Anolis sagrei: one gene and its partners. The protein of the gene in region 1 purifies or fractionates together with the protein of each later gene. This does not show direct contact. Links are inferred from orthologs where the notes say so. Each region holds a gene or a part of one and is shown on either strand. Other genes may lie near its edges. The genes, in order: CSNK2B, PHRF1, RNF111 and CEP170.

The links.
Region 2: the proteins of CSNK2B (region 1) and PHRF1 purify together in Homo sapiens (affinity purification with mass spectrometry; 3 studies listed by BioGRID and IntAct, with this or other methods). This does not show direct contact. The link is inferred for Anolis sagrei from reciprocal best matches to the Homo sapiens genes CSNK2B and PHRF1.
Region 3: the proteins of CSNK2B (region 1) and RNF111 purify together in Homo sapiens (co-immunoprecipitation; 3 studies listed by BioGRID and IntAct, with this or other methods). This does not show direct contact. The link is inferred for Anolis sagrei from reciprocal best matches to the Homo sapiens genes CSNK2B and RNF111.
Region 4: the proteins of CSNK2B (region 1) and CEP170 purify together in Homo sapiens (affinity purification with mass spectrometry; 3 studies listed by BioGRID and IntAct, with this or other methods). This does not show direct contact. The link is inferred for Anolis sagrei from reciprocal best matches to the Homo sapiens genes CSNK2B and CEP170.

What each region holds. Positions count from the first base shown.
Region 1 is NC_090022.1:19,659,805-19,667,873, reverse strand, and holds the start of CSNK2B (casein kinase II subunit beta), read right to left. Parts: upstream 3,127-8,069; 5' UTR 3,017-3,126; intron 26-3,016; 5' UTR 15-25; coding exon 1-14. UniProt on the Homo sapiens protein: Regulatory subunit of casein kinase II/CK2.
Region 2 is NC_090021.1:240,404,035-240,411,459, reverse strand, and holds the start of PHRF1 (PHD and RING finger domain-containing protein 1), read right to left. Parts: upstream 3,006-7,425; 5' UTR 2,839-3,005; exon of another isoform or gene 2,819-2,838; intron 1-2,818.
Region 3 is NC_090029.1:12,186,991-12,194,541, forward strand, and holds the start of RNF111 (E3 ubiquitin-protein ligase Arkadia), read right to left. Parts: upstream 3,003-7,551; 5' UTR 2,817-3,002; intron 1-2,816. UniProt on the Homo sapiens protein: E3 ubiquitin-protein ligase. Required for mesoderm patterning during embryonic development. Acts as an enhancer of the transcriptional responses of the SMAD2/SMAD3 effectors, which are activated downstream of BMP.
Region 4 is NC_090021.1:55,663,986-55,671,960, reverse strand, and holds the start of CEP170 (centrosomal protein of 170 kDa), read right to left. Parts: upstream 3,124-7,975; 5' UTR 2,886-3,123; intron 1-2,885.

The DNA of each region.
Region 1 (8,069 bases):
TCAGAGCTACTCATCTTCCCGCCCTCTGGAAACATGGAGAGAGAGAGACATAAGCAACCACACTTTCACCATAACTCACCTGGCTATTCTCCCTGCTTACCCAGAAACTAACTCTGTGAAAGGCTTCTCTAGAAGTCCTGCTCCACAGGTACTATTTTCAGTGGCTTTGCCCGTTATGTACCAACTAAAGGCTCTCTGTATACATACCAGAGACAGAGAACTCCCAAACCTTGGCCCCATCTATACTACCATATAATGTAATTTGAAACTGCATTACAGGGTCAGTGCAGATTCATATAATGCAGCTCAGTGCAGTGAAACAGTATTATCTGAGTTTTCACCTGGGAAAACTTGGGCTCTCCAGGTGTTTTGGACTTCAACTTCCACAATTCTGTCTTGGGCCCTTTGCTTTTCCCCCTCAGCTGCTTAAGCGGCTGAGGGGGAAAAGAAAGGGGCCTGAGGCTGTTAGGAATGATGGGAGTTGAAGTCCAAAACACCTGGAGGGCCCAAGTTTGCCCATTTTATTTTTATTTATGGTATCAAGAGCTTTTCCATCAGTTAGAAGGCATCCTGCCTTGTTCCGTTTTACTCAGGGCTCTTATTTTCTCTGCTCCCCAATTTACACTAGAGGTAACATTTGCTGGGTTTTGAGTTGTTATTTCTTGACGTCTCTGTAAAACCAGGGCCAGGAGAACATACAAGTTGATCAACCTTGTCGGTGACCAAGGAACATCCCAAAAGACCTCTTGAGTGTACGCCTTCTGCCCCCTCTTCCTCTTCCTTCCTTAGTGTCGACGTTGCCCCTAAATACAGTTTTCCAGCTCCATTCCAGAGGCCACAGCATCCCAAGGTTGGAGCACCAAGTCCGACCAGTCAAAGACGATGGCCACCTTTTGCCAGGTCTCTTTGGTCAAAGGGCAGTCCCTGATGAAATGCTCAGTGGTCTCCAGAGGCTCACTTCCAGCAACACAAGCTTGTTTCTGGCACAGAAGTCTAGGACAAACTTGTCCTTTTTCTTTCAGCCACGGTTGGTTGCCCTTCAAATAGTATATCTGATGGTATTTATTTATTTATTTGTTTGTTTGTCAAAGGCTTTCATGGCCGGAATCACTGGGTTGTAGGTTTTTTGGGCTATATGGCCATGTTCTAGAGGCATTCTCTCCTGACATTTCGCCTGCATCTATGGCAAGTATTCTCAGAGGTAGTGAGGATGCCATAGATGCAGGCAAAACGTCAGGAGAAAATGCCTCTAGAACATGGCCATATAGCCCGAAAAACCTATAAGAACCCAATTTATTTATTTATCATGTCAGGAGCAAACCAAACAGTTGTATTGCATTAAAAACAAACAAACAAAACTGAAAGTTTGCAAACTTGTTATTCTATTAAATGTCCTTTGACCAGTAGCTGGCCAGTTGGAGTGCTTCTGGTGTTGCTATAAGAAGATCCTTCATTGTGCATGTAGCAGGGCTCAGATTGATTTGTAATAGGTGGTCTGTGGTTTGCTCTTCTCCTCACTCGCATGCCGTGGACTCCACTTTGTGGCTCTGTATCTCGTGGTGCCAGAGCGCAGTCTGTTCAGCGCCAATAATAATAATATTATAAACTTTATTTATACCCCCGCCACCATCTTCCCAATGGGGACTCGGAGCGGCTTACATGAGGCCAAGCTCAAATGACAATTACAATAAAGAAAAACCAAAAACAGAAACCGAAAACGCAAATAAACAATATCATCATAGTTACATAAAACATATGAATACATAACAATATAAAAATTACAATACGCACAGGCACAGTAATAGTGGGCAGGCTACATGTCGTGATTAAAAAGACAAACTGATTAAAACTAATTAAAAACTCGGGTGAGATAATTAAACTAATTAAAAACTCGGCCTATGAGCCCACGAGGACCTTGAGATCGTCTGGGGAGGCCCTTCTCTCGATCCCGCCTGCCTCACAGGCACGCCTGGCGGGGACGAGGGATAGGGCCTTCTCGGTGGTGGCCCCCCGGCTGTGGAGCGCCCTCCCTGTAGACATCAGACAGGCGCCCTCCCTTATGACATTCCGCAAAAGACTAAAGACATGGTTATTTGAGAAGGCGTTTGACTAAGTGCTACAACAATTGGCAATGATGACTGGAACGGAATATGGATAATGAGATTGGTATATGATTCTACGATGAGACGGCGCGGATGATTTAGTGTAATTGTATTATTTGATTGCTATATTGATATTATTGTTGTGATATTCCCTTATTGTAAACTGTTTTTATATGTTGTACACCGCTGTGAGTCGCCCTAGGGCTGAGAACGGCGATCAACAAATGCAGTAAATAAATAAATAAATAAGAAGCAGGTAATTTACGGAGGAGGGCTCATTTTAACGGGAGTTGTGGAATCAAGCTTTCTGTGTGCCCAGGAGGAAGTCTCTCATTTGGTATCAGTCATGGATTGTGGTTCTGAGTTTTCGCCTGCCACTTTTGGACTCTCGTTTGCTGAGGTGTTCCTGTGAGTGTTTCTATAGTTCTCAGAAAACTATTTCTTGATTTAGGGTGTTTGCCCATGCCTGGTTTACACTGTAGAGGCGCCCAACACAATTCAGAACAGTTACACCACATTGTGTTGTTGAAGGCTGGAATCACTGGGTTGCTGCGAGTTTTTCGGGCTGTATGGCCATTTTGGAACGAATTATATGATTTGACTCTAACCCTATAATGCATTATGTGACAGTGCGGATGGGGCCTAGGGTTTGGGGAGGTTGTACGTTTCTGCTTCCTGTGTTTCGATCCGCCTTATATGGTAGTGCAAATGAGGCCTTTCTCCCTCCATGGAAAGGAGAAGAAGCAGCTTCACCTCTATGCGTACCCTTTGGCCACAAACATGAGACCGGCACGCAGCCCTTCTTCCCCTTCCCATGTCTTCCCCAAACACAGCCCCCCGGAAGCCTGAATCCCACCCCACCCGCCTCTCTTTCCCGAGGAGCAACTCCCTAAAACGACCCCCTCAGAACTCACCCCAGGGGGCAAAACTGCCTCAAGGAGAGGAAGCCGGGGCCGCAAACAAGCTTCGGACCTCTAAGGCCTCGGCCAGCTTCAACCGCGCATGCGCCACTGCCGCTGGCAGCGAAGCATCGCGGGACTGTAGTTCTTTGGCGCCAAGAAAGCGCAGGGGAACAAGGGAGGAGGGACTCCAAGCCCCAGAGTGCAACGGGAAAGGAAGCTCAAAGGCAGGGGCTAGGCCGCAGGGCGCGCTGGGAAATGGAGTCCAAATGACCTTTAAGTCCTCTCGGCTTCAAAAGATATTGGTATATTCTGAAACTACAACTCCCAACCTGCAAATGAAAGGCGCTTAAGGGCCCTTCCGCACAGCTTGATATTAAAGAATATCAAGGCAGAATATCCCACATTATCTGCCTTGAACTGGAATATATGTCACTGTGGACTCAAGAGTTCAAACTGATTTTCTGGGGACCCTTCCACACAACCCTATATCCCAGAATACCAAGGCAGAAAATCCCACATTATATGAGTGTGGACTCAGATAACCCAGTTCAAAGCAGATATTGTTACCTATCCGATCACATCTCCGCCTACAAACCCACTAGGACTTTGAGATCTTCCGGGGAGGCCCTGCTCTCGATCCCGCCTGCAACACAGGCATGGCTGGCGGGACGAGAGACAGGGCCTTCTCGGTGGTGGCCCCTCGGCTGTGGAACGCCCTTCCCACGGACATTAGATTGGCTCCCTCATTGATGGTATTCCGGAGAAAAGTGAAAACCTGGTTATTTGAACAGGGGTTTGAATAGGCAGTGCAATGAATTCAGGAAATGGAACTACGATTGACGAGTTTGGATCATGATTCTAGTTATGAGACGCCACTTGAATGTTTGCTACTGTTTAATTGTTTAGTTTGCTTCTGTGTTGATTGTTTTTAAATACCTTGTTGATGCCGCATTGAATTTTTGCTTTCATTGTTTTGCCTTGTCTTGCTTTGCTTGATTGTTGTTAACCGCTGTGAGTCGCTTTAGGGCTGAGAATAGCGGTATACAAATGAAGTAAATAAATGAATAAATAATAAATATTGTGGGATTTCCTGCATTAATATTTGGGAATATAGGGCTGTGTGGAAGGGCCCTCAGCCTCTGCAGAGGGAAAAGGAAGCCTTTGGGCCCTTCCACACAGACCTATATCCCTGAATATCAAGGCAGGAAATCCCACATTTTCTGTTTTGAACTGGAATATATGGCAGTGTGGACTTGGATAATCCAGTTCAAGGCAGGTATTGTGGAATTTTCTGCCTTGATATTCTCGGTTATATTGCTGTGTGGAAGGGCCCTGGATTATATTGCAGTGTAGACTCAGATAATCCAGTGTAACGCAGATAATGTGGATTATCTGATTTGATAATCTGGATTATATGGCAGTGTAGAAGGGGCCTAAAAGCCCTGCACTAGAACATTATTGTTTAAATCAGGGGTCCTCAGACTTTTTAAACCGAGGGCCAGGTCACAGTCCCTCAAACTGTTGGAGGGCCGGATTATAGTTTGAAAAAAATGAATGAATTCCTATGCACACTGCACACATCTTATTTGAAGTGCAAAAAAACCACTTAAAAACTATAGAATAATTAAAATGAAGAACCATTTTAACAAATATAAACTTATTAGGATTTCAATGGGAAGTGTGGGTGTGCTTTTGGCTGATGAGATAGAATTGTTGTTGTTGTTGTTGTTGTTGTGTACTTTCAAGTCGTTTCAGACTTAGGTTGACCCTGAGCGAGGGCTGGGTAAATTACCTTAGAGGGCCGTATTCGCCCCCCGGGCCTTAGTTTGAGGACCCTTGATTTAAATTGTGGGTCCTGAGCCCAACTGGGGCCCTCTGCTCAATGTTGGGGTCCAGAAAAAATCGGCTAACTCTAATCTAGTCGTTGTTTTAGGCATTTACATGAACTTTCTCTGCAATGTTTACTGTGGACTCTGCTGAAAATGCTTCAGTTGTTCTTCATAGAATGGAAAATAAGCTGGCATATGCTGATTTGTTATTATTATTTATTTTTATACCTATTTTATATACCTGAGGTCACATGATTTTTAGGGGTTAGAAAGGGGTCACAAGTGGGGAAAAGGTTGAAAGAAGCTCTACACTAGGACCTAACAAATTCTTAGGGCCCTACCACACAGCCCTATATCTCTGAATATCAAGGCAAAAAATCCCACAATACCTGCTTTGAACTGGGTTATCTGAGTCCACACTCAGATAAAGTGGGATTTTCTGCCTTGATATTCTGGGATATAGGGCTGTGTGGAAGGGCACTTAGAGAGAACATTTCTCTGAGAATCACTGTGTCCTTTATCACAAGTCTATGGTTTGAAGGGACTAGAAGTAAGGTAACACTGTGTAACAACATTTGAAACATTGTGTTTCTATGTTGTAGAAGGCTTTCATGGCCAGAATCGCCAGGTTGCTGTGAGTTTTTTGGGCTGTATGACCATGTTCCGGCTGCATTCTCTCCTAATGTTTCACCTGCATCTGTGGCTGGCATATTCAGAGGTCTGTTGGTAGTGAGGCAAGTGGAGTGTAATAATGTCCAGGATGGGAGAAATAACCCTTGTCAGTTTAAAAAACACCAGAATCAAGACAGTAAATAAGGAACACCATTCAGAAACTGGGGAGCTCCAGATACCAAACAATCATGTGCCAGTTAACACCTCCCAAATAGTGGGTGTGGTACAAAGCCCTGGTTACCTCTATGCAGATACCCCCACTGATTGACTATGCACCTTTATGGCTACCCAGTACTATTCGAGCTTGCTAACTGCAGCATTCATACTTTAAACAGACAAGTGCTCTTTCTTCCACCCTGGACATTCCACATACACTCCACTTGCCTCACTGCCAGCAGACCTCTGAAGATGCCAGCCATAGATGCAGGCAAAACGTCAGGAGAGAATGCAGCTGGAACATGGCCATACAGCCTGAAAAATATACAGCAACCAAAGCATTTACATACTTTGAAAGGAGGTGTTACACTCCAGAAACTTCCATTTTTGTGGCCGTCACAAACTGTTAAATTGATTGAGACTCAATTTTCATTGAAAAACTATCGCAAAATGTGCTGTAGGATGTCCCTGCAGTTTTTGCAGTTTAACAAACTTTTCCTATGTTTTTATGATAGAACCAATTAGGAAATGACATTTAAAACCCAGGAACAGAAATTGTGTTACACATAGGAGAAAGAACTCTTGTCTGTTTGGAGCAAGTGTGAATGTTGCAATTGGCCAGCTTGATTAGCATGGAGTAGCCTTGCTGTTTCAAAGCCTTGCTGTTGTTGCCCAGGAGCATCCTTTGTTTGTGAGGTGTTAGCTGGCACTTGATTGCTTGATGTCTGGAGTTCCCCTGTTTTTGAGTGGTGTTCCTTATTTACTGTCTTGATTTGGGTGTTTTTTTTTAATACTGGTAACAAGATTTTGTTCATTATCATTGTTTTCTCCTTTCTGTTGAAGTTGCCCACATATTTGGGGATTTCAGTGACTTCTCTGTGTAGTCTGACATGGTTGTTGTTATTGTTATTATTATATTTATACCCTGCTTTAACTCCTCAAAGGAGACTCAGAGTGGTTCAGCAGAGTGGTTGTCAGAGTGGCCCACCATTTGTGTGTTCTCAAATACAGTATTATCCTGTGTCCAGGTTGGTTCATCAAATGCTCTGCTATAGCTGACTTCTCTGCTTGAATTTATTCATTCATTTATTTGCACTATTTATATTCCGCCCTTCTCACCCCGCAGGGGACTCAGGGCGGATTACAGTGTATACATATATGGCAAACATTCAATGCCAGTTTTGGCATACAACGTATCTGAAGAAGTACTTCCGCATTCCCTGCATGCTTTTGCTGGAGTGTTTTTGCTGGAGTCTTTTTTATGGCCTCATAAATTAGTTAATTTAGCCTCCCCACACAAGGTGGTACCTAAGTTTCCTACTTGACAGATGCAACTGTCTTTCAGGTTGCAAAGGTTGACAACAGGCTACACAACTGGTTGGAAGCCCACTCCAACCCGGGCTGGCTTCGAACTCATGACCTTTTTTGGTCAGAGTGATCTGAATGCAGCTGACACTTGGCCAGCTGCGCCACAATCCCGGTGAATGGCTTTCATGATCTTCGATTCATGTCTGGGCAATGCTGTGTTTGGCAGTCCCTATGTAGACTCATCCACAGCTGCACAGTCTATGGTAAAATCTCATTAAAATATCTTTTAAAAGAGATTTTAAGGATTTAATATTTTTGAACTATTTGGATTATATTATATCTTATTGTTTTTTAGAGTTTGTCCATGATTTGTTTATATATTACTGTCAGCATCGAATGTTTGTCACTGTGTTTATTTTGCTGTAAGCCACCCTGAGTCCCTTCAGGGACATAGTTTAATTTCATTTCATTTCACCTGCAGTGGTTAGAGGATCCCTCTTATCCTTCGCTGAATGTATCATTTGTTGCATTTTCTTGGTGGGTCTGTAGATTGCTTTTAGGTTGTGTTTCTTCATCAGCTTCCCTATGTGGCCAGTGGTTCCCTTGATGTATGGTAAGAATACTTTTCCTCTGCGTGGATCTTTGTATTTACTTTCATGGCTTGTTCTTGGTCTTGCAGCTCTTCTGATGTCTGTCGTAGACATCTCCTAGAGCAGGGGTCCTCAAACTTTTTAAACAGAGGGCCAGGTCACAGTCCCTCAAACTGTTGGAGGGCCGGATTATAATTTAAGAAAAACATGAATGAATTTCTATGCACACTGCACATATCATATTTGTAGTGCAAAAACACTTTAAAAGAATACAGTAATTAAAATGAAGAACAATTTTAACAAATATAAACTTTTAAGTATTTCAATGGGAAGTGTGGGCCTGCTTTTGGCTGATGAGATAGGATTGTTGTTATTGTTGTTGTGTGCTTTCAAGTCGTTTCAGACTTAGGTTGACCCTGAGCGAGGGCCGGGTAAATGACCTTTGAGGGCCATATTCGGCCCCCGGGCCTTAGTTTGAGGACCCCTGTCCTAGAGTCTCGACCAATTCAA
Region 2 (7,425 bases), on another chromosome or scaffold:
ATTATAAGAAAGCAACCATTATAATGTACACCTTTTTGTCCAAATTATAAAGAGTGCACTTTTTGCCGCTGAGCATTACATTTGCCAACAAATACCTTTTTTGTTTCAGAGTTTTGGAAATTGAGGTGCGCATAAGATTTGATGGCACATTAGACTCGAGTAAATATGGGTATATGCCCAAACAAACCTATCCAGAAACAATACAGTAACTCTACTTCTGAATATATACAGGATGCCTTTGCCTTCCCACAAAGCAAGTGGCAGTCTGTTCCTCTTACAAAAGGCCTAATACAGCAGACAGTTTTGTTTAAGTAATTCTGAGATCTCTACAGATTTCCTTGGGTCTCAATCAATAAAGAAATGCAAGGTACAAAAACCCAACATCATTATGTCTGAAAAACTACATTGTCTTCACTTCCTTGGTAAATCCTGGCCCTACACACACCTCCTTTTAAAACCAGATTCACAAAACTTGGAGAGATGGCTTTTCAATTTCTCACTAAGAAATTGCTTTTTCCCTTCCATTTTACAACCCTACTTTTTAATTGAGTTCTTCTTGTTAACCAGTTGCTAAAAGACAAAAGGGGTCTGCTCTTGCTCATCAACAAGTTAGAAGAAAACGGCTATAAGCAGAAAGGCTTTAGTAGCACTAATGTAGAGAGAAGCAGAAGTAAAAAAGAAGACTTGAGCCTCAAGCCTTTGCCATCTCCCATTTATTTACGAAGTAAAACCTTCATCTTGTTTTTTGTTTTTGTTTTTTAGATTAGAATGAAATGTTTAACAGGTACATAATTAGATGGAAGAGAGAAAGAGGCTGAGACAAAGGATTCTCAGCTATTGTTACTCAGTAAAACATACTACTGACATCAGGAGGATATTGAAAAAGCCTGCCCTGCTATCAGATGTGCAGAATTCAGGGAAGGGAATTCAGTGCCTTGCATTCAAAACACAAGACACTGAGGCAAAAATCTACTCAATTTTTTCTGGCAGCATTACCTAACTGCTATAAATACTTTAGTTTGTCTACCCTATCTTACCACCTTCTACTCCAAGCACCTTCTTCATTTAAAAAAATCTAAATACAGACAATAATGTTATCTAAAACTAGTCTGATTTAGATAACATCACTGTCTGCATTTAGATCTTTTGTTTAAAAAATGGATATTATATAACAAAATAGTTGAATATTACTCATGTATCCATTTTATAAAAATTATGAACTATTTATACTCAGTACTGCACAAGAATTTCATGTGATAAAGGAAGCCTAGAAATATTTGGGTTTTAAAAGATAGCAATAAAAGGATTATAATGAAAACTCTAAGGCATATTGTACAAAGAATGTGAGAGACTAAACAGTTTCCAGGATTTAGTGACTGAAAAATGAAGACTGACAAACACCTACATTTAAATAATCTTTCCTCCCAACTGTGATTGTTTATAGTGTAAACAATGGACACAGAACTCTACAAGTAAAACAACAAAAACAGCCTACCCTGCCAAAGGATGTGATCTAAAATATGTTTATATATATATATACACACACATAGTCAGAGGAAGGAAGAAGAAATGGAAAAACTAAACAATACAAGAAGCCATTGCTGGGTTAGGGATTGGGCCAGTATCAGAAACAAAAGTGGCCGATAGTTTGCAGATGCTAAACACTGGAACTGAGTGTGAGAAAACCAGTAAGCCTTAAAAAGCAGCAGCATAAGAGCAAACCAGGCTGAAACATGGTTAAAATTTAGTTCTGTCAAAAGAGCAGCATGGTTAAATAAATGTGTAGCTGAAAAGGGGTGGTGCTTATACAATACAACTGTTTAATTGTTCCTGTTGTTATTTAGTAGATGACTGCCATTTCTAGAAGAGTTTTGTATACTTTCCCTCCTACTGGTACTTGGCAGATTACTACCACTGCATAGAAAAAGAACCAACATGTCAAATATTAGAAGTTAACAGAGACATTTATGACATTACCCTTAAATACTCGAAGAGATATTAGTAAAATTAGATAAATGATACCAAGGGAGTGAGTTAATACTGATAATTGATGCAGGTAACATGAACCTGTGTTCAAGAATACTTCAAACTCACTTTTGTGTTGAAAAGCAGTTTAAAAAGAGGTCACTGTTGGTGCATCTATGTATTTTAGATAGCCCTAAACAACCCCGGCCCAGTTTACTTGTTCAAACACATCTCCCTTTACGAACCACCACGAAAACTAAGGTCTTCTGGGGAGGCCTTGCTCTCGGTCCCACCACCATCACAGGCACGTTTGGCAGGGATGAGAGACAGGGCCTTCTCAGTGATTGACCCCCGGCTATGGAACTCCCTTCCTGGCAATATGAGATCAGCCCCCTCCCTCCTGTTCTTCAGAAGGATGGTGAGGACCTGGCTGTGGGACCAAGCCATTGGGGCAATGCATTCAGGCAACAATATCTATTATTTCCACAGTGCAGACCAGGAATAGGCAAACTTGGGCCCTCCAGGTGTCTTGGACTTCAACTCCCACAATTCCTAACAGCCTACCGGCTGTTAGGAATTGTGGGAGTTGAAGTCCAAAACACTTTAGAGGGCCCAAGTTTGCCCATGCCTGGTGTAGACAGACACACAGCCTTCCTGCTACGAAAATACCTCTTAATCGGGAACCAATTCTATAAAGGGGGCCTTCGACATGGCGCTAGACTACAGTCACAACAGTCAAAGGCCTTTCTCCTTCTCCCTCCACATTGTGGCGACTCCATAACAACAACATACCTCTCCCCCCCCCCCCGCGCCCGCCCCATAGGAATACGTAAAGAGCTGGCCTGCCCCTCACCTGTCAGGAGGGGACCCTACCAGGTTAGGAGGCAACAGCAGGACCGCAATGCGCACGCGCGGCCCCCGCCTCCGGTGACAGCAGAAACGAAGAGAATATCTAGCGAGGACGGAGAGTAAGCCGGGCCGATGCGAAGGCCAAAGCCGTGGCCGCCCCGGAAGAGAAGGAAGTCCCACTTCCGGGTGATCGTACGCGGTGGGCGGGCCAGAGGAGGCGGAAGTGTCGGGCTGTTCTATTTCTGTACTACGAAAGGGGGGGCGGGGGGGAGCTGCGAGCCAATCGTCGCGTGGGGTAATCCTTCGGGCGCGCTCCTCTCAGCCTCCTCCTGCGCATGCGCCGGGTCTGAGTCGAGGGTGCTCAAAGAAGTCTGCGCCTTGTTTACAAAAGGAGTGTGTCGCTCTCGGGGATGCGCCTACCTCCCCTGTAGAAACGACGCAGTTTCCTCACGCCCGTGGCTCCTACTATGGGATCATGGGAGTTGTCGTTTGACAAGGTCTGAAGCGTACTCTGCCAGAGAGCGCCGCTTTCTCAACAAACTACAACATCTACCTTAGCATCAGGGGTTAAAGCAGGACTCCTCGAACTGCGGCCCTCCAGCTATTTTGGCCTCCAACTCCCAGAATTCCCGGTCATTGAGCAAGCTGGCTAGGGCTTCTGGGAGTTGGAGGGCCGCAGTTTGAGGATGCCTGGGTTAAAGGTTTGGGCTCCCAACTTCCAGAAGCCCCAACCACCTCGGCCAATAATAATAATCAGGAATTCTGGGAATATCTGAAAAACCACATTGAGAAACACTGCTTTAGAGGATACGTGTGTTCAGATGGTTTTATTTGTGTACTAGGTTGAGGGAAGGCGGGTAAGAAATTATTATCATCATTATTATATTTATTTGTACCCCACGGCACTCCATGCAGTCATGTTGGCCACATGATCTTGGAGGTGTCTACGCCGACTCTTCAGCTTAGAAATTGAGATGAGCACCACACCCCATAGTCGGACATGACTGGACTTCATGTCGGGAAAACCTTTGGAGACCAAAATCCACTGATTGTCGTAATGTGAAAGTATCTAAATTAACTCAATGTATACATTACAAATACACATATCAACAAAACACAGAGCTGCCACATTCATATTAAGCAGAAACAACTGCTTCTTCTCTTGAAGTATGAAACAAAACCTTCGTGTGATTAATAGTCCTTGAATGATAATAAATCTTATTCTTTATTGCATACGAGTAGACTCCAGTAGTCACACGACTCAACTCCAACCTGCAACCGATTTCGACTCACAAGAGCCTTCGTCAGGTGGTTGGGTCTACAAACAACACATATGAATACACACATACAGTTGAACAATTTGTTACATCAAGTTTGTAAATGTATATACAGACTGTCTACTTACTCATTTATCCAAAAAGGCTCATCTATTAAAAAAAAAAGGCTCAACTTTTGAAGTAAGCGATTCACCAACAATGTTCTTGAGAGGTGGAGCCTAAGGGGACATACATAGTGGCTAAAGGTAGTATTGCATCGCACCTTTTACCCCAATTTAACTGTCCTGCAGGACACTCAAAGCAACTGATCATAAAATATCACCAAACATCATCAACAACAACAACCTCTGAGGATGCCTGCCATAGATGCAGGCAAAACGTCAGGAAAGGATGCTTCTGGAGCATAGCCATACAGTCCATACAAACACAGATCAACCCAATAATAATAATAATAATGATAATAATAATAATAATAATAATAATAGTTCCTGAGTTTCATTATAGTAGTAGTCTCAAGTGAATGTGGACCCCTTCTACACTGCCATATATTCCAGATTATCTGCTTTAAACTGGATTATATGGCAGTTTAGACTCCCATAATCAGGTTCAAAGCAAATAATGTGTGTTGCCTTCTTTGATAATTTGAATTCTATGTCAGGGCCCTTCCACACAGACCTATATTCCAGAATATCAAGGCAGAAAATCCCTCAATATCTGCTTTGAACTGGGGGCCCTTCTGCACAACCCTGTATCCCAGAATATCAAGGCAGGAAATTGCACATTATCCGAGTGTGGACTCATAACCCAGTTCAAAGCCGAAAATGTGGGATTGACATTCTGGGAGATAGGGCTGTGTGGAAGAGCCCTGGGTTATCTGAGTCCACACTGCCATTTATTTCAGTTCAAAGCGGAAAATGTGGGATTTTATTCAGCTGTATGAAAGAGGCCTCAGTGTAGATGGTCAGAGTGGCTATTGAGAGATTAATTGTGCATCTACGGGCCCTTCTACACAGCCCTATGTCCCAGAATATCTGTTTTGAACTGGGGTATCTTGAGTCCAGACTCAAATAATGTGGGATTTTCTGCCTTGATATTCTGGGATATAGGGCTGTGTGGAAGGGCCCCCACTTGTAGAATTAATGCAGTTTGGCACAATTTAATAGCAATAGCTATGAGATGTAGGGCCCTTCCACAAAGCTGTATATATCAGAATATCAAGGCAGGAAATCCCACAATATCTGCTTTGAACTGGGTTATCTGAGACCAAGTGCAGATAATGTGGGATTTCCTGCCTTGATATTCTGGGATATAGAGCTGTGTGGAGGGCCAAAGATTTGTTAAGGCCTCCTTATTGCGTTACTGTGTTTCTTGTAATAGAAATTAAGATAGCCTAAAAAGGCATAAATTATCTGAGTCCACACTGCCATATATTCCAGTTCAGTGTGGATTTATACAGCTGTGTGGAAGCGGCTCCTGTGTTACAAGGTCCTTAGCCTTTTTTGCCCAGAAGTACTAGTTCCTCCCCAAACAACAGCTCTCAGGATTCCATGGAAGGTAAAACAGTGTCAAACCATATCAATGTTACAGTGTAGATTAGGGGTCCTCAAACTAAGGCCCGAGGGCCAGATACAGCCCTCCAAGGTCATTTACCCAGCCCTCACTCAGGGTCAACCTAAGTCTGAAATGACTTGAAAGCACACAACAACAACAATCCTATTTCATCAGCCAAAAGCGGGCCCACACTTCCCATTGAAATACAAGTAAGTGTATATTTGTTAAAATTCTTCATTTTAATTATTATATTGTTTTTTAAGGTTTTTTTTTTTTTGCACTACAAACAAGATATGTGCAGTGTGCATAGGAATTCATTCATGTTTTTTTCAAATTATAGTCCGGCCCTCCAACAGTTTGAGGGACTGTGATCTGGCCCTCTGTTCAAAACGTTTGTGGACCCCTGGTGTAGATGAACCCAAGTCCAAAACATATGGAAGACCAGCCTTTGGAAAACGCCACTTTAGTAGACGGCTTCAAAGTTCCTATGGCCGTACCAACACTGCCATATATAATCCAGTGCCTGAATCCAGATTTAGTATATTCCCTATTTGGGAAGCGTTTAAAGTTGAGTTTATTGCCCTGGGCACCTTGGAAATAGGGCGTGAGCCGCCATTGAGCATTTTGGAGGGGCCCAACTGAGGGTGGAGGCAAGAGGCTGCAAGGCGCGCGGCCGCCGCTAGGGGCCTCCCGCGAGCCCTTCCTTTCATTCCGGCGGCGCGAGCGAGCGGCGCGTGAGGGACCCGATGAACAGAACTGCATCCCAGAGAGACCCCTATGCGCGCGCGCGCGCTCCCCGGGATTAATTAATAGCGGGATGAGATTAGGCCACGAGCCCACGAGGAAAATCTCGCCTTCTTAAGAAGCATTTCCGCGGGAGCACAGTCCCCCACTGAGCTTGCATCCGCACTGTACAGTGGATGCGGTTTGGCATCGCTTTAACTGTCCTAGCTCAGTGTTGGGGAATCGTGGGAGCTGCAGTTCGTCAAGATCTTGAACCGTCCTTCCTGGAGAGCGGTGATGATGATACCCTATCAAACTACAGTTTCCCGTGATTCCATAACACTGAGCTGCAGCAGTTAAAGTTGCCTTAAACTGCATGAATTCTATAGTGGAGATGCACCCCTAAGAATGAAATGACGTGATTCCCAGCTGCCAAAGTGGGGGCCACGCAGAAGAGCCAGAAATGGGCAACTACAGCCATCCTTGCATCGGGATTACAGCCCTACACGCCAGTGAGTGCCCTGGGGTGGGCAGAATCCCAAGTGATGTTGGACCACAACTCCCATCATCCTTTCCAATCCTGTGCTGGCTGGGGCTGGTGGGAGTTGCAAGCCAGCATGGCCAACAACTCTGCATGTCCTTGCTGTTGTTGAATTTACTAAGGATTTCTTCTGAGTATATATTCTCACTGAATCAGACTTCACACAGATAGTGCCAGTAAACAATAGGTCCTTCCACACAGCTCTATATCCCAGAATATCAAGGCAGAAAATCTCACAATATCTGCTTTGAACTGGGTTATCTGAGTCCACACTGCCATTTATTTATTTATTTATTTACGGCATTTATATTCTGCCCTTCTCACCCTGAAGGGGACTCAGAGCAGCTTACAAGTTATGTGTACATACAATATATTGTATTATTAGCATAAATGGCAAATGACTTCACCCTTCTAGCCGTAATTATTATCAGCTCTTGCACTTTTCTCCCAGCCCCTGTCTGGATACCATTTCACAAGCTCCTCCGAGCTCAGTATTTATTACTGTCAGGGGCGGCCCGT
Region 3 (7,551 bases), on another chromosome or scaffold:
CCCTCTGTTTAAAAAGTTTGTGGACCCTTGTTTTATGTAATATATTGAATTGTGTGTGCAGATCTAGATATATCTTTGAGTCACAATCTCCCTCCAGATCTATATCTATAGATAGATAGATATAATATAATGTTTTATAGAGAGAGGGGAGGAGGGGGAGAGAGAGAGAGAGAGAGAGAATAAAATATACCGGCGACCTTTTGGTCAGCAAGTTCAGCAACTCAGCAGTTTAACCCACTGCACCACTGGGGCTCCATATATATATGTATATACTATTATATTTTGTGATATGTATATATATATCTATATATATATTGGGGGTGGTGACGACCAACAGGGAGCTCTGGCGTGGGCTGGTCCATGAGGTCACGAAGAGTCGGAGGCGACTGAACGAATGAACAACAACTCGGGATGAACGGAGTCATCCCGAGTCCCTCTGCGGAGATTGAGATATGACGGGATATAAAAGCCTGGAATCTATATAAATAAAAATGTAGTGTTCGTTTGTGGGATTAACAGAACTCAAAAACCACTGGACAAATTGATACCAAATTTGGTCACCAGACACCTAACAATCCCATGTATGTCCGTCACTTAAAAAAAATTGATCTTGTCATTTGGGAGTTCCTGGGATTTATAGTTGACCTACAATCAAAGAGCATTCTGAACCCCACCAACGATGGAATTGAACCAAACTTGGCACAGAGTTCTCTCAAGACCAACAGAAAATACTGGAAGGGTTTGGTGGGCAGTGTCCTTTGGTTTTGGAGTTGTAGTTCACCTACTTCCAGAGAGAACTGTGGACTCAAACAATGATGGATCTGGACCAAACTCTACACAAATACTCAATAAGCCGAAATGTGAACACTGGTGGAGTTTGGAGAAAATAGAATCTTGACATTTGGGAGTTGTAGTTCCTGGGATTTATAGTTCACCTACAATCACAGAGCATTCTGAACCCCACCAATAACAGAATTGGGCCAAACCTCCCACACAGAAATTGGGCCAAACCTCCCACACACCTCCCCATGACCACCAGAATGGGACACAGCAACGCATGGCAGGGGACGGATAGTATATATATATATATGTGTGTGTGTGTGTATGTATGTATGTATATATATGTGTGTGTGTGTAATGTTCGTTTGTGGGATTAACAGAACTCAAAAACTACTGGACAAATTGACACCAACTTTGGACACAAGACACCTAACAACCCAATATATGCCCTCCACTAAAAAAAAATATTTTGTCATTTGGGAGTTGTAGTTGCTGGGATTTATAGTTCACCTACAATCAAAGAGCATTCTGAACCCCACCAATGACGGAATTGAACCAAACTTGGCACACAGTTCTCCCATGACCAACAGAAAATACTGGAAGGGTTTGGTGGGCACTGTCCTTTGGTTTTGGAGTTGTAGTTCACCTACATCCAGAGATCACTGTGGACTCAAACAATGATGGATCTGGACCAAACTCTACACGAAGACTCAATATGCCCAAATGTGAACACCGGTGGAGTTTGGGGAAAATAGAATCTTGACATTTGGGAGTTGTAGTTGCTGGGATTTATATTTCACCTACAATCACAGAGCATTCTGAACCCCACCAATGATAGAATTGGACCAAACCTCCCACACAGAAAGCCCATAACCACCAGAATGGGCCACAACAACGCGTGGCAGGGGACGGCTAGTATATATGTGTGTGTGTGTGTGTGTATATATATATATATATAATGTTCATTTGTGGGATTAACAGGACTCAAAAACCACTGGACGAATTGACACCAAATTTGGGCACAAGACACCTAACAACCCAATATATGTCCTTCACTCAAAAAAATTGATTTTGTCATTTGGGAGTTGTAGTTGCTGGGATTTACAGTTCACCTACAATCACAGAGCATTCTGAACCCCACCAACGACGGAATTGGGCCAAACCTCCCACACAGAACCCCCATGTGGGCCACAGTAATGTGTGGCAGGGGACAGCTATATAATGTGATACATACATATATATATATATATATGGCATTATATGTGTGTGTGTGTGTGATATAATATAACGTGATACATATATAAATATATATATATATTCCGAGCCACAATCTCCCTCCATATGTAGCTATATCTATGGGCCCTTCCACACAGCTATATACATACATATATATATGGCATTATATGTGTGTGTGTGTTATAATATAATGTGATACATATATATATATTCCGAGCCACAATCTCCCTCCATATGTATCTATATCTATGGGCCCTTCCACACAGCTATATACATACATATATATATGGCATTATATGTGTGTGTGTGTGTTATAATATAATGTGATACATATATATATATTCCGAGCCACAATCTCCCTCCATATGTATCTATATCTATGGGCCCTTCCACACAGCTATATACATACATATATATATGGCATTATATGTGTGTGTGTGTTATAATATAATGTGATACATATATATATATTCCGAGCCACAATCTCCCTCCATATGTATCTATATCTATGGGCCCTTCCATATAGATATATCCCAGAATATCAAGGTAGAAAATGCCACAATATCTGCTTTGAACTAAGTTGAGTCCACACTCAGATAATGTGGGATTTTCTGTCTTTGTATTCTGAGAGAGAGAGCTGTGTGAAAGGGGCCTATACAATATAACAAGGCCCCCTTCTCTCCAAGCAGATCTGCGTGTCTTTCTCCTCCCGGGCCGGGCCGGGCCTAGTCTCCCCCCGAAGCCACGGCCTCCGTTTGCAGTTATGCCCGAGGCCAGGGGCCCTCCTCGGGCCTACTCACCGGAGGGTGCGCGGTGGGGCCTCCCGCTAGGCTTAGGCCTGAGCCTTCCTGCCTTCCTTCCTTCCTTCCCCCTTCGCGGCCTGGCTTTCCCTCAGGCGCCGCTCTCCTCCTCCTCCTCCTTCTCTTCCTCACCGCCTCTGTCGCTCTGCTCGGCGGACGCAGCAGCGCGACACTCGGCAGTGGGATTGCTTTACGGCAAAGCCGCCAAGCAGCGCCGCCACCGCCTCTCCTAAGCCCCGCCCCCTCAGGGAGTAAAGAGGTTCAAAAGCACTGAACGTCACGTCTGGTTCTGGTGCGACGCTTTTGGGTGAGAGTCATGGCAGGGTCATCCACACAGTCAAAGGCTTTAGAATTGACTACTCTAAAGCCTTTGACTGTGTGGATCATAATAAATTGTGGCAAGTTCTCGGTGGGATGGGCATCCCAAGCCACCTTGTCTCTCTCCTGAGGAATCTGTACAAGGACCAAGAAGCAACAGTCAGGACTGACCACGGAACAACAGACTGGTTCAAGATTGGGAAAGGCGTACGGCAAGGCTGCATCCTCTCACCCAACCTTTTTAACTTGTATGCAGAACACATCATTCGAGGATGTGCGGGGCTGGATGAATGCAAAGCTGGGGTGAAAATTGCTGGAAGAAACATTAACAACCTCAGATATGCAGATGACACCACTCTGATGGCCGAAAGCGAGGAGGAGCTGAGGAGCCTTCTAATCAAGGTGAAAGAAGAAAGCGCAAAAGCCGGGTTGCAGCTAAACATCAAAAAAACCAAGATTATGGCAACAAGAATGATTGACAACTGGGAAATAGAGGGAGAAAACGTGGAGGCCGTGACAGACTTTGTATTTCTAGGCGCAAAGATGACTGCAGATGCAGACCGTGGCCAGGAAATCAGAAGACGCTTCCTTCTTGGGAGGAGAGCAATGTCCAGTCTCGATAAAATAGTAAAGAGTAGAGACATCAGACTGGCAACAAAGATCCATTGCCTAGTCAAAGCCATGGTATTCCCTGTAGTCACCTACGGATGTGAGAGCTGGACCTTAGGGAAGGCTGAGCGAAGGAAGATCGATGCTTTTGAACTGTGGTGTTGGAGGAAAGTTCTGAGAGTGCCTTGGACTGCGAGAAGATCCAACCAGTGCATCCTCCAGGAAATAAAGCCCGACTGCTCATTGGAGGGAAAGATACTAGAGACAAAGTTGAAGGACTTTTGCCACATCATGAGAAGAAAGCAAAGCCTAGACAAGACAATTATGCTGGGGAAAGTGGAAGGTAAAAAGAAGAGGGGCCGACCAAGGGCAAGATGGATGGATGGCATCCTTGAAGTGACTGGACTGACCTTGAAGGAGCTGGGGGTGGTGACGGCCGACAGGGAGCTCTGGCGTGGGCTGGTCCATGAGGTCACAAAGAGTCGGAGACGACTGAACGAATGAACAACAATCACAAAGGACTACCACCTCACCTGCTTCATAGGAAACCTGCTACAAAACAGGAGCTTTTTTGTTGAGTTCAGGGCCAGAGAAGCAGATGGCGGAAACAGAAGAACGGCCTGCTTCAGGGGAGCGTGCTTGCTCCATCAATGTTCAACATTTACACAAATGACCATTCCACCTAAACATTAGGAAGAACTTCCTGATGGCAAGAACTGTCCCACAGTGGAATGGACTTCTGTCTCGAAGTATGATGGAATCTCCTTCTCTTGTGGTCTTCAAGCAGAGGTGGAAACTACAACTCCAAAACCCAAGGTTAATGCCCACCAAACAAGTGTTAATGCCCACCAAACAAGTTGGACAAGTGTTTTCTGTTGGTCATGGGAGTTCTGTGTGCCAAATTTGGCTCAATATCATAATTGGTGGAGTTCAGAATGCTCTGGTTGTAGGTGAATTATCAATCCAAGCACTATAACTCCCAAATGTCAAGGTCTATTTTCCCTAAACTCCACCATTTATTTATTTATTTATTTATTTACTTTACTTTACTTGTATACCGCAGTTTCTCAGCCTAACCGGCGACTCAACGCGGTTTACAACAAGGATAAAATCAATCAACGATATACAATTTAAAACCACAAGAGCACAATATACAATATTACACAACAGTAACAACACAATGCATCTCATAACTAGAGTTGTGATCCAAATTCGTCGTCCATATTTCCATTCCTGTAATCGTCACATTCATTGCACTGATTAACCAAATGCCTGTTCAAACATCCAGGTTTTTAATCTTCTTCGGAACACCATTAGCGAGGGGGCTGATCTTACCTCCATGGGAAGGGCGTTCCACAGCCGAGGGGCCACCACAGAAAAGGCCCTGTCTCTCGTCCCCGCCAGCCGCACCTGTGAAGCAGGCGGGATAGAGAGCAGGGCCTCCCCAGAAGATCTTAGGGTCCTGGCGGGCTGATAGGCAGAGATACGTTCGGATAGGTAGCTTGGGCCAGAACCGTTTAGGGCTTTAAAGGCCAACGCCAGCATTGAATTGAGCCTGGTAGCAGATCGGCAGCCAGTGGAGCTGGTGCAGCAGAGGAGTGGTATGCTCCCTGCGCTCCGCTCCTGTTAGTATCATGGCTGCCGAACGTTGGACTAGTTGGAGCTTCCGAGCTGTATTCAAAGGCAACCCCACGTAGAGAGTGTTACAGTAGTCTAAACCATTGTTCAAATTTGGGCATATTGAGTATTGTGTTAAGTTGGTCCAGATCCATAGTGGTTTGGGTTCACAGTGCTCTCCGGGATGTAGGTGAACTACATCTCCCCTAAATGGAAATGTGAGATCGAGCTCTCAAGCCCCAGCTTTCAAGCTGATCTGAAAGTGCAGCAGAGTTCCTGAACATCTGGATGAGCCAGCAACAAAGAGACTGTGGCCACAGCAGCATTCAACTAAAGACTATTTCTCTCCATTTTCTTTCCTTCCCCTTCCCTAACATTGTAACTATCCCCCAATAAAGAAGTATTTATTTGTAACATTTCACTCTCTGTAGTCATATGTTGTATCCCTTTACTGCCTCTAACCCAGTGGTTCTCAACCTTCCTAATGCCGCGACCCCTTAATACAGTTGTGGTGACCCCCAACCATAACCCTAACATTATGAATCGCCATGTAAATAATAATCTGCAGGATATATTTTCATTCACAGGAACAAATTTGGCACAAATATCTGGTATACCCGAATTTGAATACTGGTGGGTTTGGCAGGGGGATTTATTTTGTCATTGGGAGTTGTAGTTGCTGGGATTTATAGTTAACATGTAAACAAAGAGGATTCTGAACCCCACCAACAATGGAATTGAACCAAAGTTGGCACAGAAAATTCCCATGATCAACAGAAAATACTGGAAGGGCTTGGTGGCATTGACCTTGAGTATGGGAGTTGTAGTTCGCCTACGTCCAGAGAGCACTATGGGCTCAAACAATGATGGATCTGGACCAAACTTGGTACGGACACTCAATATGCCCTAATGTGAACACTGATGGGGTTTGGGGAAAATAGACTTTGACATTTGGGAGTTGTAGATACTGGAATTTATAGTTCACCTACAATCAAGGAGCCTTCTGAATCCCACCAATGATAGAATTGGGCCAAACTTCCCACACAGAGCCCCCATGACCAACAGAAAATACTGTGTTTTCTGATGGTCTTTGGCGACCCCTCTGACACCCCTTCGTGACCCCCTCAGGGGTCCCGACCCCCAGGTTGAGAAACACTGCTCTAACCCGTTCTAACATGAACCTTTCCTTTTCTGAGCTTCAGATCACTGCTGGCTCGCCAAGGATGCTCTTACAGCGTCCCGGAGAGGCCGAAACTGTGTTCCTCTGAACCGTGGATATGGAAATCAATTTGGCCCCCGTATCTGCAGGTCAACGGACCATCTCCAGACCGGTGCCATCTTTTTCCTAGATTAATTCTAAGACTAAATGCCATCTCGCTTTTTGCACTATGGACCCCTGCGCCCCGAGAAAAATCATTTTTATCTCAAAACCTCATGTGGGGACCAGTTGACTTTGGTCCATGGCTCCATGCGGCAGCGACATTTGTGCCTCCATCTTGTGTGTGTCCAGAAGCCTGCCAACCCCGGGGAACCTGCCGTGGTCACCCCTTGGGAATCCTGAACCTCTGACGGGGCATTCTGGCCATTGGACAAAATTGGATTTATAGTTTTCCTTTCTTCAAATGAATGGATCTTGACCATCAGCACTCACAGTAACCCCAATGTGCTCCCCGTGGACTCTTATGAACTTTCCAAGGCTCCCTATGAACTTTCTCCCAACCTTTATGAACTTTTGCAACTTTTTAAAATTTTAATCAACTTTTGGTGAACTTTGGAACTCTCAGGCGCCCTCTGCCTAACCCCAGTGAACCCTTTATGAAATTCCACAACTCTTTATGAACTTTTAAGGATTTTGGGGGGAGGGAAGGCTGTCATGGTTCCCCCTTGACTTTGCATGATTTATCTATATACGGTATATAAAAATGCTCTGTGCATAATGAGTACCTTAAAAACAAAAGAACCAATAAACGAAATCACACCAAATTTGGCAACAAAATGTCTCACAACACAAGGAGTGACCATCACTCAAAAAATTATGATTTTGTCATTTGGGAGTTGTAGTTTCTGGGATTTATAGTTCACCTACAATCAAAGAGCATTCTGAACTCCACCAATGATGGAATTGAACCAAACTTGGCACACAGAAGTCCCATGACCAGCAGAAAATACTGGAAGGGTTTGGTGGACATTG
Region 4 (7,975 bases), on another chromosome or scaffold:
ACAACATAACCAAGTAATCCCTACAGCCTTCATCTTCATAATAACATATCTTGCTTTGAATCCTTGTTTGTGTGCATATAGTAGAACAAGGTTTTAAGTAGATAGAAGTCTGTAATACAAAAGACAAGTATGCTACACCCACTTGAAAATTATACTTTTATGATCTTAGCTTGCACACAAGGCTCTATTTGGCTGGAAATCAGTACCTTTTAGGAAGCATGTATTATGCATGCTTTCTCAGTAACTATTCACATTCAAAAAAGAAAAATTTAAGCTTAATTAGTCTTTTTCTTCATTGTTTTATCTGACAATCAACCTGACTGAAAAAGTACTGAACAGCACATCTTCCAGCCCCATGGTTCTTCTGGGTGGCTCTTTTAATTTCTCCTCCCCTTCTTATTGGATCACTGCTCTCTTGTGTCCCTGATTTCCTTGTCAACCATTACCAAGGTTGTTCTGTTTGCAGCAACTCCTTCAGCAACTGCTCAGTTCACTCAATGTTAATTCACTTCCTTATATTGGAAGGCGGGCTCCATAAGTAACATCACATAGGTTTTTAAATGCTGTATGCTTTGATATTGTTATTGTTTATTGCTTATTGTGTATTTTCTGTTTTTGAGTTTATTTTAACTGTTTTGTATTGATTATTGTTATTGCTTTTGTTTATTGATGTGCTGTGGGCTTGGCCTCATGTAAGCCGCACCGAATCCCTTGGGGAGATGGTAGCGGGGTACAAATAAAGTTTTGTTATTATTTATTATTATTTATTATATCCCTTCGTGTACAATACAGATTAAAATTAGGCATTTTTGCATTCAAAATCAAAGTTTGGGTTCTTGTTCAAGAGGCATTAATACTGAGGCACCGGCCCTTGATTTTTGTCAGCTACAAGATATCTGCAAGTCTCTAAATGATTTTATTATTCATCACAAACATATTTTTGGAATTAATGCACTATACTAGACTAAAGATTAGTATATTCTTTAGGGGGGCTACATATTTTCCTCTGCGCCCATTACATTTTTAAAGCTTTGTTACATCAAGTTTTCTTCCTCCTTCCAACCCTTCCACTCGTGAATGCAATTCAGTGCTGGCAAACTCCTCTTGGTTGCATTGTATAAAAGCATGGCACCAAATACTCTCATGTTAAAAACCTGAGTACTGTATACTGTTTCAAATAAATAATGTATAAAGAATCTGCTTTGCTCCTATTGCATAAGGAAACAATTTGAACAAGTATTCACCATACACTGCTTGTTTACTTGCTCTTTGCTAACAGCTGAAAAGAAAATCACACTAGCTTTTATCTGATGCAATTTTGTTACCAGCAGATATTTAAAAATTAGTTGAGAAATAATAAGTAACTCAAACCCATTGCTCTCTTAAGCAAAATGTAGCTCTTCTGTGTGTGTGCCATCTTTTGAACAGCCATAGCCATTTAATGCATTCAATGACTTCCTGCTCAGATGCAAAAGCAATATCTTACCTGATGCCAGAGGCTAACTGAATTGTAAGTGCACGCTGTACTAGAAAACAGTTCTGGGCAGAAGCCCTCCTCTTCCCTTCCCCCATCCCCAGCATCCGGTTCCAGGCAATGACTAGATGAGATCACAAAAGGCAGCTCATCTGTAAAGCTGTCATATGCTTCCTTCATCGAGTCAGCTTCCTCTTTCATAAAATGCTGGATTCTTTCAAAACCACTCAAAGATTTGTTTATTAGCATTGCAACCAATGCAGTTCACTTCCAAGAAAGCAGCTATGACTAGGACGCCTCCCACATGCACAAAATGAACAATTTGGAAGGATGCTTTCCACAAACAGCCTGATATGTGTCGCTTCTGAGAAGCCGGTTCTCTGACCAAAGACTACATTAAAAAACATATATACCTATGTTATTTGGGGGGGGGGGGGATATTTTTAAAGTCTAATTTTACAGTAATCTAAAAATATATTATGACCTTAGATTGGGGGTGTTTATACTTAAGCTGTAGGAAAGATTGGAATACAAAAGGCTCAATTTATTATTATTATTATGGGGTGTTTATACATGTAGGAAATATTGAAATACAAAAGGCTCATATTATTATTATTATTATGGGGTGTTTATACATGAAGGAAATATTGGAATACAAAAGGCTCGGATTATTACTCTTTTTTTGCACAAACCACACACACTCTTCAATTGGCTGGATTGTTTTTACAAAGGCATATACACACAAAAGCCTGCGCCATCAGAAATATGTGGACAAAGGAGAATCGAGATAGTTGGAAGAGATGGATAGGAAGAATAACAAAACAGAGAGGCAAGGCCCTCTTCAGGCACCTCTGAGGCCCCTTCTACACTGCCATATAATCCAATTCAAAGCAGATAATCTGGATTTTATATGGTAGTGTAAAAGGGGCCTGCCTGGGTGTGTTTTCTGGGGTCCCATCAGCACTGCCATATAACATCCAGTTTCTGAATGCAGTGTAGACTCATATAATGCAGTTCAAGGCATCCTGAAACTGGATTAGGTGGCAGTGTAGATCCAGGCTGGATGGGGGGGAAAAGGCTCCACCTGGGTGCAATTTGGGCCGTCCCTCCTCTTACACCCACAGCCCTTGCAGCCTTCCCTGAGTCTCAAGAGAGGCAAGCCATTGGAGACGCAACAGTGGTCACAGAAGAGAACAAAAAGGGAGATGGGAAGGGCAGGTCCCACTCCTAACAGCCACAACAACGTCGGCCGGGGTGCTGCAGACACCCGCCTCGGGGGAGGGAAGGAGAAGGGAAGGGGCGGGGGCGCACAAAGGCCTGTACTGGCGGCGCTTTCTCCCCGAGGGAGGCACAGGGGACATCCCACCCATCTGGGCAAAAAGGGCCTTGGGCCCGGCGCAGCATCACTCACCCCGCTCGGGAAGCCACAAGACGCGCCCTTGACTCAGAGGCCCACCATCTTCCCTCTCCAGAGCAAGGAGAAGGGAAGGGAGGGGGAGGGGCCCAGAGGGAGGGAAGGGCGCGCGAGGACCCTCCCCCTCTCTCTCTCTCTCTGCGTCGCGCGCGCTTCTGTAAACCGTTCTAACGTTATTCCCAGCGTATTGCGCGGCTAACGGCGCGGCGCGGGCGAGAAGAACTACTGCGCAGGCGCTGTCTCCTGACTGACACACAAGCGCGCACGCGGGCGACACTCGCGCACATAGCCACAGGCGGGGGGGGGGGCACAAAATGCTTTGCCCCCGAAATAACCTAGTGCGCAGGCGCAAGGCGGCTTGCGCTATCAAATTCTTTGTAGACAATAGAAAGAGGCAGAGAAAAGAACAAAACAAAACAAACGTTTGGCCATAAAATAGTTCGTGTACCGGTTGAAGAGCAGCTGAAATGGAAAATAGAGTTATCTGTTCTTCTGAGATGGTTAGAAATTATCAGTCCTGCTAAAAATGATCAGTCCTGTTGTGTTACGATTACAAGAAAAGACTCAAAATGCAGTCAAAGTAATTGGCACAAACAGTGTTAACCTCTTCCACACAGCTATATAACCCAAAATATCATGGCAAAAAATCCCACAATGTCTGCTTTGAACTGGGTTATCTGAGTCTGTGCGGGGCTTGATGAATGCAAAGCTGGGGTGAAAATTGCTGGAAGAAACATTAACAACCTCAGATATGCAGATGACACCACTCTGATGGCCGAAAACGAGGAGGAGCTGAGGAGCCTTCTAATCAAGGCGAAAGAAGAAAGCGCAAAAGCTGGGCTGCAGCTAAACGTCAAAAAAACCAAGATTATGGCAACAAGAATGATTGACAACTGGGAAATAGAGGGAGAAAATGTGGAGGCCGTGACAGACTTTGTATTTCTAGGTGCAAAGATTACTGCAGATGCAAACTGTGGCCAGGAAATCAGAAGACGCTTACTTCTTGGGAGGAGAGCAATGTCCAATCTCGATAAAATAGTAAAGAGCAGAGACATCACACTGGCAACAAAGATCTGCATAGTCAAAGCCATGGTATTCCCTGTAGTAACCTACAGATGTGAGAGCTGGACCTTAGGGAAGGCTGAGCGAAGGAAGATAGATGCTTTTGAGCTGTGGTGTTGGAGGAAAGTGCTGAGAGTGCCTTGGACTGCGAGAAGATCCAACCAGTCCATCCTCCAGGAAATAAAGCCCAACTGCTTACTGGAGGGAAGGATACTAGAGACAAAGTTGAAGTACTTTGGCCACATCATGAGGAGACAGCAAAGCCTAGAGAAGACAATTATGCTGGGGAAAGTGGAAGGCAAAAGGAAGAGGGGCCGACCAAGGGCAAGATGGATGGATGGCATCCTTGAAGTGACTGGACTGACCTTGAAGGAGCTGGGGGGGTGGTGACGGCCAACAGGGAGCTCTGGCGTGGGCTGGTCCATGAGGTCACGAAGAGTCAGAGACAACTGAATGAATGAACAACATCTGAGTCTACACTGCCATGTATTCCAAGTCAAAGTAGATAATGTGGGATGTTATTCAGCTGTGTGGAAGGAGCCTTAGGCCCCTTCCACACAGATGAATAACATCCCACATTATCTGCTTTGACTTGGAATACATGGCAGTGTAGACTCAGATAACCCAGGGCCCGTCCACACAGTCATATAACCCAGGATATCAAGGCAGAAAATCCCACAATATTTGCTTTGAACTGGGTTTGCTTTTTGGGATTTTAAAAAATATTTTGAAGCCGTGTTTAGTTGAATCCACGACAACAGAAGACCAATTGTGTTTGGTAAGAGTTACACATCTGGTTAGGAGGGCTTTAAGTGTTGGAGATATTAATGGCCCAGCTGTTACTGTGGGAAAATAAGCAACTAGAAGGAATGATCTTTGACACTACTCCACAATCAATTAACAAGATGAAGTTGAACTCTTAAAAATTTGTGAGAAAATAGATCACTGAAACCTGGTGGGACAAATCTCATGATTGGAAGGTAGTAATAGAGGGATATATTTTTCTGAGAAACAGATCAAACAAGAAAGTAAGATGAGTCACATTATATAATCAAGGATAGTATACCTGTGAAGCCAAGATGAGAGCATGTGGAGAAAAAATTAAAGTGAGAGAAGAGGGAGGTCATTGTGTAATTGTGAGGGTCAAAACTAACAAAATTAATTTAAACAGGCAAAAATGTACGGTACTACACTTGGACAATAAAAATCAAATGCACAGATATAGAATGGGTGACACTTGGCTGGAAAACAGTACATGTGAAAGGGATTTAGGAGTCATAATACACCACAAGTTGAACATGAGTCAGCAGTGTGGCACCTAAGAAAACCAATGCGATTCTATGCTGCATCAACTGGAGTACAGTGTCAAGAAGTTGACAAGAAAGGAGGAGGATGAGATGCATTGTATATCAAGAATGTTTACACCTTGTGTGGACATCTGTGACATAAATCCTGAAAGCCAGGATTTATGTCATGGAAACAACAGGGATGTTGTTGTGGTGGTCTACTACAGGCATTCAACCCAGACTGATAACTTAGACGATAGCTTTCTAGATTAGATGACCAACGAGAAATATAGTAATAATGGAAGATTTTAACTATCCTGACATTTGTTGGAAGACAAACTCTACCAAGAATGTGAAGTCTAACAAACACCTCCTTTTAGACAATTGTATCATCCAGAAAGTAGAAAACGCAACAATTATGATCCTAGCCGACAATGATTTCCTGGTGCATGGGGTGGAAGTGGTGAGTTCCTTAGGTGGAGTGATAATCTTCTCCTGGTTTCTTCTATATAGCAGAGAAGGGAGAAACAAGCCACTCTGAGTCCCATCAGGGTTAGAGGAGTGGGATAGAAATATAGTGAATAAATAAATAAATGGGGTTGGACTGAATGGCTTTTGGAGGTCTCTTCCAATTCGATGGTAGCTGTGGCAACACCCACTTCCTAACTGCCAATACACACACACACACACTTTATTTTTATCTCGCCTTGCTCCTGAAATAAGGATGTTAGTATGAATATAAAAATTCAAACAATGAAATCTTTGTCATTAAATTCTGTTTTATTCTATTCTATTTGTTGTGGATCAACTCCTTTGGGCTTTGTGCAAATCTACCAAAATATAGGATCCTGTGCTTTTCTTTTCCATTTCTGAACAAATAGTTAACCATTTGGTCATCCCATCGAGTACGAGTTCTTCCCAAGGCTGCTTGTGACCTCTTGGTATCCAGCTGTCACTAAATATAAAAATCAAAATACAATTAAAATTATATTTTAAAACTCAGCAGCCCCCCTCCCCAACACGATTAAATTTGTCATTCATTAAAAAATATAGGTGCCACAAAGTGGTAGTAAAATTTATTGTTTGGTGGTACAGTGGGTTAAACTGCTGAGGTGCTCAACTTGCTGACCGAAAAGTTGGCAGTTCGAATTCGGGGAGCAAGGTGAGCTTCTGCTGTTAAGCCCAGCTTCTACCAACCTAGCAGTTCGAAAACATGCAAATGTGAGTAGATCAATAGGTAACATTCTGGCAGTAAGTTAACGGTGCTCCATGCAGTCATGCCAGCCATATGACCTTGGAGGTGCCTACAGACAACGCTGGCTCTTCGGCTTAGAACGGGAGATGAACACCAATCCTGAAAGTTGGACATGAGTAGTCTTAATGTCAGGGAAAATCTTTACCTTTACAAACACATTTTTATCTCACCTTTCTCCCAAAAGAGGGACTCAAGTGAATATTATACAATACAATACAAATTAAAAACAAGGCATGTTAGTATGAATATAATTTTTTTAAAAAAACAATGAAATATTTGCCATTAAATTCTATTCTATTCTATTTGTCATGGATCGACTCCTTTGGGCTTTATGCAAATCTACCATTTGCCAAAATATAGGATCCTATGCTTTTCTTTTCAATTTCTGGCCAAATAGTTTAACCATTGGTTTCTCCCATCAAGTGTGAGGTCTGCCCCTTGATGGCCTCTTGGTGTCCATCTGTCATTAAATATAAAGATTAAAATGCAATTCAAATTAAGTTTTCAAACTAGACAACCCCCGCCCCCCAACATGATTAAGTTTGTCATTCGTTGAAAAATACAGGTGCCACAAAGTGCTTCACTATTTATTGGTTGATATAACATAGGAGCCTCCTATGGCACAATGGGTTAAACCCTTGTGCCAGCAGGACTCCTGACTGACAGGTCAGCAGTTTGAATTCAGGGAGAGCGGGTTGAGCTCCCTCTGTCAGCTCCAGCTTCCCATGCGGGGACATGAGAGTAGCTCCAACAAGGATAGTAAAACATCAAACAACTGAGCGTCCTAACAGATGGCCAATTCTCTCGTCGCTCCTAACAAAAACAAAAATACAGGCATGGGCAAACTTGGGCCCTCCCTCCAGGTACTTTGGACTTCAACTCAAACATAATTCAAGAACATGGGAACATGGAAATTAAGAATTCTAATTAACCAAAACATTTACTAATGTAAAATTAATGATGTATTCAGTTCAGAAACAGTTTGAAAGCTTCAGCGTTATTGACTAAGGGCGCATCAACACTAGACACAGAGCCGGCCCTAGGTAATTTTCAAAGGTAAGCAAACAGTATTTTGCCCCCCACCCCAACCAATCATTGATATATATTTTCTGTTCATTGTGGGAGTTTTGTGTGCCATATTTGGTTCAATTCCATCATTGGTGGAGTTCAGAGTGCTCTTTGATTGTACATGAACTATACATCCTAGTAACTACACTTGCCGCACTTGCTCCCTTGCCTGGCCCGCTTTGGGTCCGGAGGTGTGCCTGAAGACCCCGGCGTATGCACCAAAAGTCACCTCTTTTCCTGACTTTCTCCTCAGCCATTGGGACCGAGAGAGGTGGGGAGGCCCACCTTTCCTGAAGATAGGCGCAAAATCAAAGGAGGGAGTGGAGGTGGGAGATACCTCCAGCTGGAGGGGCTCTCTCTCTCTCTCTCTCTCTCTCTCTCTCTCTCTCTCTTGGTCCCAATGGCTGAAGAGAAAG